Drosophila melanogaster: one gene and its partners. Changing the gene in region 3 together with the main gene of any one other region gives a genetic interaction. Each region holds a gene or a part of one and is shown on either strand. Other genes may lie near its edges.

What was found.
Region 1: of tws (region 3) and Ret, changing one enhances a phenotype caused by changing the other (phenotypic enhancement), as found in Drosophila melanogaster (one study listed by BioGRID).
Region 2: of tws (region 3) and Sod2, changing one suppresses a phenotype caused by changing the other (phenotypic suppression), as found in Drosophila melanogaster (one study listed by BioGRID).

What each region holds. Positions count from the first base shown.
Region 1 is NT_033779.5:21,197,085-21,200,839, forward strand, and holds the start of Ret (Ret oncogene), read right to left. Parts: upstream 1,679-3,755; 5' UTR 1,569-1,678; intron 1-1,568. Other genes in the region: CG31624 (uncharacterized protein), read right to left, coding at 2,317-2,853.
Region 2 is NT_033778.4:16,772,163-16,775,917, forward strand, and holds Sod2 (superoxide dismutase 2 (Mn)), read right to left. Parts: upstream 1,754-3,755; 5' UTR 1,628-1,753; coding exon 1,593-1,627; intron 1,477-1,592; coding exon 858-1,476; 3' UTR 623-857; downstream 1-622. Other genes in the region: Arp53D (Actin-related protein 53D), read left to right, coding at 2,100-2,187, 2,241-3,388. UniProt on the Drosophila melanogaster protein: Destroys superoxide anion radicals which are normally produced within the cells and which are toxic to biological systems.
Region 3 is NT_033777.3:10,138,006-10,141,760, forward strand, and holds the start of tws (twins), read right to left. Parts: upstream 1,768-3,755; 5' UTR 1,322-1,767; intron 1-1,321. Other genes in the region: TAF1B (TATA box-binding protein-associated factor RNA polymerase I subunit B), read right to left, coding at 2,765-3,755. UniProt on the Drosophila melanogaster protein: Could perform a substrate recognition function or could be responsible for targeting the enzyme complex to the appropriate subcellular compartment.

The DNA of each region.
Region 1 (3,755 bases), on a different chromosome or scaffold from region 3:
CCCCATTAAAGGTTAAGCGCGACCCAGCCGATCCGGGTGGACTTTTAAGGTGCGTCTATAGCCGTCCTGTTGCTCGAAACGCCAAAAATGGCAATTTCCATATAAAACTTATGCGAAGCCGGCAAACTTACAAACATCCGACGACCGCAAGAGTCAAAGTACGACTGTGGAGGTTCTTCAGTGCCAGTGACTGCCCCGACTGTTTTTTAACTGCACTGCGACAAAAAAAGATTCTAAGAATGCGTACTGGGAGCTTAATTTTAATCAAATGTTTGCCTTTTGCATTGCTTTATCATAATGAAGAACATTTTGCATTGCAAAGATTTAATGAATACAGAAATGTAAAAAAAAATTTTTTAATGTGTCGTGTTTAAAAATATTATGGCTTACACAATAAAAAAAAATGTTGCTTCATTTGGTTTCATCGAATTATTGCTACTTTTTCAATCTTTCCCCTAACTTTAAATGGTATTTTATATATGAGTATTGGTATAATGAGCTGTGAATAAAAACCAAATAGAATAATTCGATGATATTATTGACTTAGGCTTGGACCTTTTCCAGTGCCATCGGCTTGTAAGTTATTTTTTCGTTCACAGACATCTACGAATTGAAAAAGAATGCCAGAGTAGCGTCAATAAATTTGGCCTGGAAGCTTAGAGCCTGGCTTGGATTCCATTTCCACGAAAAAAGGTTCTGGAATGACAGCCGCTTTAAAGGTGTGCGTGATGTTCTTTTTGATCCAACACAGTCAGCAATAGCAAGTATTACAAACCCTAATTGATCCCATTGATTGAGTTTTTAGACCTGATCGCTTGTAGACACATTCGTAAAATGCAAATTCACATCGCGACTGACATTTGCATATGCTAACAATTAATTTTCTGTCACCTAGGTAATCAAAATAAAACATTTTCCAATTAATCCCACATTTTATAATTTGTAAGATTAACATTTTTATAAGCTCTGCCTCCACCTGAGCAAACGCAAGCACGAAAGACCTTAACAGGCATTTAAAATGTAGAAGTACAAGATTAGATATCTTTTGTATTAATTAAAATAATTATCAATTAGAATAAACGCTCAGACCACCCACACTTAGTGTTTTACTATCAAAGATGTGTCTTTGCATACATACATATATGTATATATATATATATTTATAGCTAATCTGTTATCCCGCCACTTCAGCTTTAATATATTAAAATATTTTCCTCAATAAACTGCAATTACTTGAAGTTGCAAATTGAGTAAACTAATTCCACTTCAACACGCACGGCTAAATCACAATTATCTGATGCCAATCTACACGATATACTGTATTGAGTTGTCAGTGCCACTAGACGTGAGGATATTGGCTGCATTTGGAAAATCCGAATCTGGAAAATCTGGCCATAGATCGCAAATAAATTTCAAAGTTCGCAACATACGTAAACCACGATCTTGATTTTGATAGACACGATTTATGGAGGCTTGCAGCTGCTGCAGCTTTTTACAGACTCCTTAATTGTTCGACTCAAACGGCAATTATTTATGGGACAGTTTCAACAGTGTAATTAATTAGCCACCTCTCTTTTCCCGTTTTCGGGCAGCTTTTCCGCGGAAATACTTTTTGGTTTGTGGAAAATCGCTTAAAGACCAACCGAACCGCTTTGCACGAGCTCCGTTTGAAAAATGAAACTGAAACCGGCAGCCGGCAACTCCAAAGCCGCAGAGCCCACAAAATCGTAACGAAAACTTGACTAACGAAGCCGCTTCGTGTATTTTACCCGAATGTATGAATTTTCCACGATGACGGCACGTCAGCACACCCTCGCAGAGTTTTCCATTTTCCGCTGCACTGCTGGGATACCCCTCCTCCAAACAACATAATTCCACCGACTAATGGCGTTTATGAGATAATCAGATGTGCATGTTCCAAGGCTGGGTAGCATATTTACCCTTGGAAACATGATCTCATATCAAGCACACTTTCCTCGACAGCTTCTTTTCACTGGGTTTGGGGAAAATATTTACTCAAAATTGGGAAAGGGCTTGCGTTCTAGTTTATCTCGCAGTAATCAGTATGTTGTTGTGGGTGTTGTTGGTCTTAGGCAAATCTTAACGATAAAAGGGTTTACCTGGCCACCCCAATACAGAGACTTTACATATTTATTTTTATTTAGTGTGTGCGTGTGCGAAATGTTAAGTGTGGTCAAATGTGTGGGTCTGATTTCTTTCATGCCTCTAGGCTTCATAAGCATCGGGAACTATTTCAACATTAGTGTAAGAAAGGAACTAAACAATTTGGAGTAAGATCATGGGTCCGGGACGATGTTAGCAATTGCAGGCGGGGCACACGGGCTTGTCCCCGTCGATGGTAAAAGTCTGCGAGGTTATAGGATTCTCGCATTTGTTGCACTGGAAGCAATTGCGATGCCACTTCACGTTCATGGCGAGCACCGCTGAGTCCGTTATAGGCTTCTCGCACTTGGCGCACCTGGCAGCAAAGAGGTTCTCGTAATCCTGTTTGCAATAGGGCTTGCCGTCGCGCTCATAGAACGTTTGACTGGCGAGCGGCTTCTTGCAGGCACCGCCGCAGCAAAAGCAAGCTTCGTGCCACCTCTCCCCCATGGCGCAGATGGTTTTTTCAAGGATCGGCTTCTTGCAGCCGGCACAGGTGTAGGTGTACCGCTCCACGAAGCACTTGTTGCACACTGGTTCTCCGCTCTGAACATTGAAGGTGGCATCCAGGATCTGCTCATCGCAGTGGTGGCACAGGAAGTGCTCCGGGTGCCACGTCTTGCCCAGGGCGGTGATCATACGCTTGGTGATGGCCTCCTGGCACTTGTGACACACAATGCTCTCAGTCATTTTGGCTTCTCGATTGGTAACTGCTAATAAAAAATGATTTTTAATGCGCATTACCAAGGGATTGTTCAATTACTCTTTTTTGATTGAATTGCTCGTATATATCGTAAATTGAGGTTAAAATACAAAATGTACAAAACAGGGCAGCTATCGATTATTTTATTGAAAGAAACAACGGAAGATGGCTATGGAACGATAAACACTGGGCAACGCAAATATTAATGAGACAAATTATAATTCTGTACTTATTTTAAGATTGGGTGTATTTCTTACTGGGTTTGTCGCCTGTTTCACTACTTCCTCTTTTCGCAGTGTGTTTTTCCTAGTTCGTAATTGTACTGTTCTCATATATCAAAACAGTTGTCACAGGGCCACCGTTGTTACTTTACTTTCTATTAGATGTTTCACACAAAATGGGAGCACAACAACAAGCAATAACGGGTATAATAAGGGTATACTAGATTCGTTAAAAAGTATGTAACAGGCAGAAGGAAGCGTTTCCGAACATACAAAGTATATATATTCTTGATCAGGATCAATTGCCGAGTCGATCTAGCCATGCCCGTCTGTTCGTATGAGATTCAGCATACAAATTCTAGAGACAACGATGCAGCGCAAGTTTGTTGGCCCATGCTGCCACGCCCACAAGCCGCAAAAAACGGCCACTCCCACACTTTTAAAAAAGTCTTGATATTTTTTTACATTTCATTTTTTATCAATTTGCAAAAAAACTTTTTGCCACGTCTACTCTAACGCCGTAAAACCGCCCATAACTGCTACGCTAACATTTTAGAAATTTTGAAAATTATTTCTTCATAATTCCATAACTTTTTGCCACGCCCTAAAACCGCACTAAATTGCTACGCCTACACTTTTGAAAACTGTTGATATTTTTATTAGTCTTG
Region 2 (3,755 bases), on a different chromosome or scaffold from region 3:
GAGTTTTTCAAAAAACTAATCGAAAACACCTTTAATTGAAACCCAATCTCATATTTTCTTATCAAGTTTTGTGTTTTCTTTGGTAACTTACTTACGTTTAGAAGTTTAGAAGTTAAATTCCTTGATGGGCGTCAACAGTTCTCCTCACACACTCACAATCACAGTTCTTTATTAAATTATTATTGCACTCAAGTGGTTTATTTTGTATGTTTTTCATTCGTCACCGCCCTCAGGAAATTAAATGATTTTCCTTTGTTTCGTACTGGTCTCTCGATTTCAAAACTCCGGGCGATTTTCGAGGATGGCCATTACGCGAACAGGCAACAAACGACTCTGCCAGCGGCTGGCCATTTGTTCCACCATTCGGATACGCGTGCTGGAAAATTGTTTGCAGCTGCGCGCACGCAAGTTCGGGAAAACTCGGTGGAAATGTCAATTTTCCTCCCCCGATTTCGCGGCAGGCTGACTTTTGTTTTGTTTTTGTTTGGCTCGCGCACAGCTGATTTGCTAGAGATGGCACCATGGGCGGCAGTGTTGTAAAACATTTACAGTATTTGCGATATTTTAATTTAATATAAAAATTAATTTTTTTGGAGCGTAATAAAATTGATAAAAATAAAAAATATGAATAGGTATATGTATATTTTTTAATTCCTCAATGAAGTAATAGTTTCAATACGCCTTTGTGAAGCGTTATCTTCGGAAATTATGTTTTAAATTGTTTTATTCCCATTCATAAAAATTATAAAAATTAGTTGCTAGCTGGTACCAATTTATTAGCCGCAACTTAGACTACAATTTAGGATCTCCGATCCGCAGATGCTTATAGATTAAACATACGCAATCGCCGGCTGTGCTTAGCAACCGAGCTTCTTGGCCTCCTGGAAGCGGCACGAGATGTCATCCCAGTTGGCGATGTCCCAGATGGCCTCCACGTAGGAGGGACGCACGTTCTTGTACTGCAGATAGTAGGCGTGCTCCCAGACATCGATGCCGAAGAGCGGGATCAGGCCGGTGGAGGCCTCCAGGGGATCCTGGTTGGGCAGGGCGGCCAGTTGCAGTTTGCCCGACTTCTTGTTGAAGCCCAGCCAGCCCCAGCCGGAGCCCTGGACCGCCACGGTCAGCGTGGTCAGCTCCTTTTTGAACTCCTCGAGGCTCTTCCACTGCGACTCGATGGCCTTCTTCAGATCATCGCTGGGCTGGGTCTTGTTGGGCGAGAGGTTCTGCCAGAAGATGGTGTGGTTGATGTGGCCACCGCCATTGAAACGCAGGGCAGGAGCCAGCTGAATCAGCTTGGTGGTGTCGCTCTTCGACTTGGCCTCCTCCAGCTGCTCCTCGGCGGCATTTAGATTGTTGACGTAGGTCTGGTGGTGCTTCTGGTGATGCAGCTCCATGATCTCCCGGCAGATGATAGGCTCCAGGGCGGCATAGTCGTAGGGCAGCTTCGGTAGGGTGTGCTTGCCACGCACCGCCAGGCTGCAAAGGGTTAAGTGTGTCTTGTTTTATAATGTCCTCAAGATCAGGGTCGCCATTTGTTGCTATTTATGTAATCAGCCGGCATCGATTTGGGCATACTTTTTTTCGCAACTTACCTTGCAGTTTGCGAAATTTTACGGGCCACGAACATATCTGCGTTTTATTCGACTGCTAATAAGGCTAAGTCCCGATATCAGATTTTATATCAAATAAAACAAGGCTTACGTTCTCGTTATTTCGCTTGTTCTATTTGAACAATTTACTGCTAGAGATGAGCAGATGAGAAAATATCGAAAGACCCCAATCAGTCAGTGATGTGAGATCAACTTATATATATTGAAGTTAAATAGTAAAACTAAAAGAAATTAAAAACTATTTTTAATTGAAACATTGCACTGAAACATATTCAAATCATATTGAGGATTTCTTAAATATTTCTTATGTTTAAATACTACTTTAGTGACTATTAGCATATTTTAGCTGCTTACGTATCGACTGCATCCATTCGATTGATACTTGAATTAATCGATTTTTGGCCTCTGTATGTCATGGCGCTAAATTGGAAATAAACCATGAAATTAACGTCATAAGTTTAAAAATCCGACTGGAACACAGCACACAACATGTCTACATTTCAAATACCTTCCCGAATCAAAATCGATATAACAAATAAACGGGCACAGAACATTCTTCACAAATATCTACATTTACGTAAGTTGCTTAAATAAGCTAAAGATTTTATGATTTGACCATGATTCGTTCAGCAACCTCTCCTGGAAACATGAGCAGCGAGGTAGATAGTAATTCACACCACGCCGCAGTGGTTATTGACAACGGCTCTGGAGTATGTAAGGCTGGATTCTCCCCAGAAGATACTCCCCGTGCTGTCTTCCCGTCGATTGTGGGCAGACCTCGTCACCTGAACGTCCTGCTGGATTCCGTGATCGGTGATAGTGTTATTGGCGAGGCGGCAGCCCGAAAAAGGGGAATACTAACCCTAAAGTATCCCATCGAGCACGGAATGGTCAAGAACTGGGATGAAATGGAGATGGTTTGGCAGCACACGTACGAGCTCTTGCGGGCGGATCCAATGGATTTGCCGGCTCTACTCACCGAAGCCCCACTGAATCCGAAGAAGAATAGAGAGAAGATGACAGAGATTATGTTCGAACACTTTCAGGTGCCAGCTTTTTATGTAGCAGTTCAGGCTGTGCTCTCACTTTACGCCACCGGGCGTACTGTGGGCATTGTGGTGGACTCGGGTGATGGTGTGACGCACACGGTACCGATCTACGAAGGATTTGCCCTGCCCCACGCCTGTGTACGAGTTGATCTGGCCGGCAGGGACCTCACCGATTATCTATGCAAGCTGCTTCTGGAGAGGGGCGTTACAATGGGCACCTCTGCTGAACGGGAAATCGTGCGTGAAATCAAGGAGAAACTCTGCTATGTGTCAATGAACTATGCCAAGGAAATGGATCTCCACGGAAAGGTGGAAACCTATGAGCTGCCAGATGGGCAGAAAATCGTTTTGGGCTGCGAGAGATTCCGCTGCCCGGAGGCTCTCTTCCAACCCAGTTTGCTGGGTCAGGAGGTGATGGGCATCCACGAGGCCACCCATCACTCGATAACCAACTGCGACATGGATCTGCGAAAGGATATGTATGCGAACATTGTTCTCTCTGGCGGTACGACCATGTTTCGTAACATCGAGCATAGATTCCTGCAAGACCTAACCGAAATGGCTCCACCATCCATCCGAATCAAGGTTAACGCTAGTCCAGACCGCAGATTCTCCGTTTGGACGGGTGGTTCCGTCTTGGCCTCACTCACGAGCTTCCAAAACATGTGGATCGACAGCTTGGAGTACGAAGAAGTTGGTTCCGCCATAGTCCATCGAAAGTGTTTTTAGTTAAGGAGGGTGTTCAAATATTCGTTATGAGCAATGATTATTATATATTTTCTATTTGCTAATGAATGTAATTTCTTAAACAAATCTAGTCGATATAAAATAAACAAAACTGGGGGTTACCTACACAAAAATTAGTTGCATTTGGGAAGCACAAGGCCCATGTAACGCCCTTCTAACAGCACAAATGCAACACTATCTAAACTAACCGCCAGATTAACTAGCCCCCAGGTAAACTAACTCCCATATAAAAAATTCTTAGGTAAATTAATCCCTAGATCAAATAACCCCAAGTTAAATTAACCCGCAGATACAACATCCCCCAGCTAAAAACAAAAATCCTTAAAAAAAAACTCCCAGTCAAACGAAC
Region 3 (3,755 bases):
TGCTCCCGCTTGCCGAACTGTCCATAATATGTCCATCAAAGTGTCTTTTCAGTTTGACATCCATTGGCGGCAGCAGAGTGCCTTACTTTTTGTATCTTTTTGGGGAGGTAAGAGGGTGGTATTGATAAACATTTCGACGGACAGACGTGATTACTACCATATGTCCGACCAGATCCGTGGCAAGCAATATTGTGCTTATCAAACTGTTTCGGCTCATCCAATTAATACACTTCACGGCCCCCGAACTCCACCCCACTGCACTCGTGGCTGGCAGATATAATGAAACTAATTAGCATTTGACAAACACCAATCTCATATTATATTCCTCATATACAGTGGGCGTTAGTTTGTACAAAAGCAAACGCTTCACTGATGAAATTTCCAGAAATTTTGAGTGCAATATCACATGAAAACTTGTTGATATTCTGTAAATTACTCCATGAAATAAGTATACACTTGGGGTTGTAGGTAAATTGCTATAGAACCAGGCGCTGTTTTATCTATCATTAAAACCTGCTCTTGACCCTATGGACTTCATTTTGTTACCACCTTTGTATTAACAAGTAAACAAAGTATGGCTGTGTTGATTATCAAATCGAATAGGTTAATAAAAATAACTACATTTTTGATCTTTAGTCCACTACTGGGGTAGACCACTGTACCAACAAAGAATCCGCAAAAACAGGACCCAATTGGCTAAGGCAAACTTCAGTTGGGAAAACAAATTGTAAGCCCACAAATAATGATTTAGTCACATGGAATCGAAATCAAGATAAATGCGCGTGCTATATGGTTGTTTTCTTATTTTTTTTTCGCTTTGAGCAATTTGTTCGATTTGCTAATGCGAACAGCTTAGGCAAATATTTTGGCATAAAAGTCAGCAAGTGACAAAATAGTAGCTATTAATTGTTTGTAAGTCGGCTCGCTAAACATGGCCAGTGCGAGTCAATAGTTGTTTATTGTTTGGCTCACAGCGAAACAAAGCGGCCTGAAAATGTTGTTAACCTCAAAAACCGCCAAGAACGTCAGCCAGATCGGTCGGTATTATAGCGGTGGGAGGAGGAAGAGGAGGATGAGGGGGGGGGGGTGGCTCAGCCTACAGAAACTAGAGAATCAAATGCTATGGTAAAGCATAAGCCCCCGACCCCCCGCAAAAGGTTGACGTAACAGCTAGGCAGCTAAACTCTTGAGAAATGGAAGCACCACTATACTTTCGGCGGTATTGAAACAGCTGTCTTTCCATAATCGTAGCATTTGAATGGTAACCACACGCGCGCATATTAATATGAAAACATTTTCAAAAACCGAAAAACCAACTCACCAGCAGACTTCTAAAACAACAGATATCCAACAAATCACAGACACAACAGTGCTATTTTAATTGACAGTCTTTAGATATCTCATAATTTGCCATGCACTCGGCTATTTTTAAACTCTGATTTTGAATTTATTTTTGGTTCCTATTTCTGTGGCCTCCACACTTTCATCACTTTCAGATCGGTTCTCTTCAAGTCGCGCGCTGCAACGGTTAAAATTCCTGTCCACACATCCGATTCCACTGCACTTCTTGGGCACAGGCACTTTGGTTTCTGGTTATCACACTGCGCTGGACGGGCAAAGAGGCGTACAAAGGCACAATGGGAACTAATTTAAATTGAATTCGAACTCAGTGCTCGCGGCCAGTGGAAAAGTGGAAAATAGGGAAACTCAAACCGCAGCAGGGCAATAAGGCGAAACAGTCAGCGACGACGTTAAAATTAGCACTGAAACGCGCCGTGCGAATGCGCGCCTATGATTTCTTTACCCACTCTCACTGCTCCCAAGCGGAGGTGGCCTCTTTTCTAGCTAGATATAGCTATAAATATAGGTAAGATCACAAGAATATCGAAAAAAAGCATAAGATAATTCTTATCACCTCTTTCGCCGGATTTTTGAAGTAGGATCATCAGAGATAACTGCTTTATATGAAACAAAGCTAGTAAGACATTAAAAGGAAATCGCTCCTATGAGAGCGTTGACAACGTTAAACTTAAAGCAAATATAAACTATCACAATTGAACACCCTTTAAATTGTTATATATGTAAGTGATTTTTTTTGGTTTATTTATTTTATTTTGTTGTTTATTTGGTATAATTACTTTATAAGTAGAACTGTTCAAAAACAAGCCAAGTGAGCTCCTCTGTTTCCCCAAGTACTCTCACGCTCTTTTTTTGCTCTCTCCAGTTGGTGATGACCGTGGGGCCTGGCGCTCTCTTTTGAAGAAGATTTTTGTAAACAAAACCGCGACACGCATTGTTGCTGCTAATGTGATTGTTGTTGTTCTGATAAACGCTAATTTGCCTATTGATATTGATGTTAATGTGCCTTTGCTCACACAGTCGCGGCCAAGGAGATAACACTGCCCCTTAATACATAGATCGTTTCAATCTAAAATGGATGCAAATTTAACATTTGGGCATAGGAAAACGTATGGGTAGACAACGAATATTTTTGTTAAATGAATTGATCACTTTCGATAAGTGTGTAAATCATAAATTCCTGAACTTAAGCTATTGACGTAGTGGGTGTGTCATGTTTGTACTTTGGTAACTGCTTAACACACAGATTTATTTGCATCATAATCACTGTTGAAAGATTTCTACAGGTTATATACACAAAAAGAAAATCTATCATTTGAGGTAGAGCACTACGTAGAAGAATATTATATTTTATACAGATGGCATCGTTGTTTGTTAATTCAAAACTTTTAATACTTCTAATATACTACCATAACTCCTTGTACGTCCTGGCGAGGGTTCGGATGTCCTTCTCTTGAGTATTGTGTTGAATACACAGATAGTTCCTATGATTGCTCCAGTCCCTGATGCTGTGATGGTACATCACTTCCACAATGAGCAGTTCCTCGTAGAGCTCCTCCCAGACTATGCCTATTGTGCTGGCACACGTCTCCAAGAGCCAACGGAAGGAACAGGGGAACAACTGACGCAGTTCATGCTTGTCATGCCTCCGAATTCTTTTCATATAGCCGTGTAGAAGCCAGCAATCAAAATTTGACACTTGCAATAACAGCGTCTCAGGGCTTGGCGGCTCATCATTGATATCGCTCGCTACTTGGTCTGATGCTCTATCAGAACCTTCCGGATTCAAAATTTTTTCCAGATTGCGACGGGGCAGATCTAGAGGGATGTTTAATGGATCCATGGTCCCTTCCTCGAAGGTTTGCAGTGAGCTAAGGCTGTCAAGTGGTATCTCGTTATCGTTGAGTTTGAGAAGAAAGCTGGGCGTTTCGGTAACATCCCAAAACGGATTATTTATCTCAAGTTGCACACGCCTTGCGTCGCGCATTGTTATACGTTTCAAATATCGGGCTCCATAGGTTCCAGTGGGCTGTGTGAACCGAAAGTCCGGCCGTTTCTCCTTACGCTTTAGCTCGCTTATCCACGTCTCGGTTTTAATTTCAGTGTTGGCGCGGTATTCTCGACCGTCACCTCGGATTATTGTTAGTGGGCGGAATATGCCCACGTTTTGGATGTCCTCCTGGCAGGCAAGCTCCTCTACTCGTAGTTTAAGGCCATGTTGGGACAAATACTGCGACAGCTCGGTCGTTTCCAGCACAAAGGGATCCAGGTTGCGGGCCGAGTGATCCACTTTCATGTGGTCAGGAATTGTGATTTTCATTTTTGCACCATCAGACCGCGATACTTGGAGTAGGATTCTGTTGAAGTAGGAGTGAGCCGGAGTCAAGCTGGGCTGG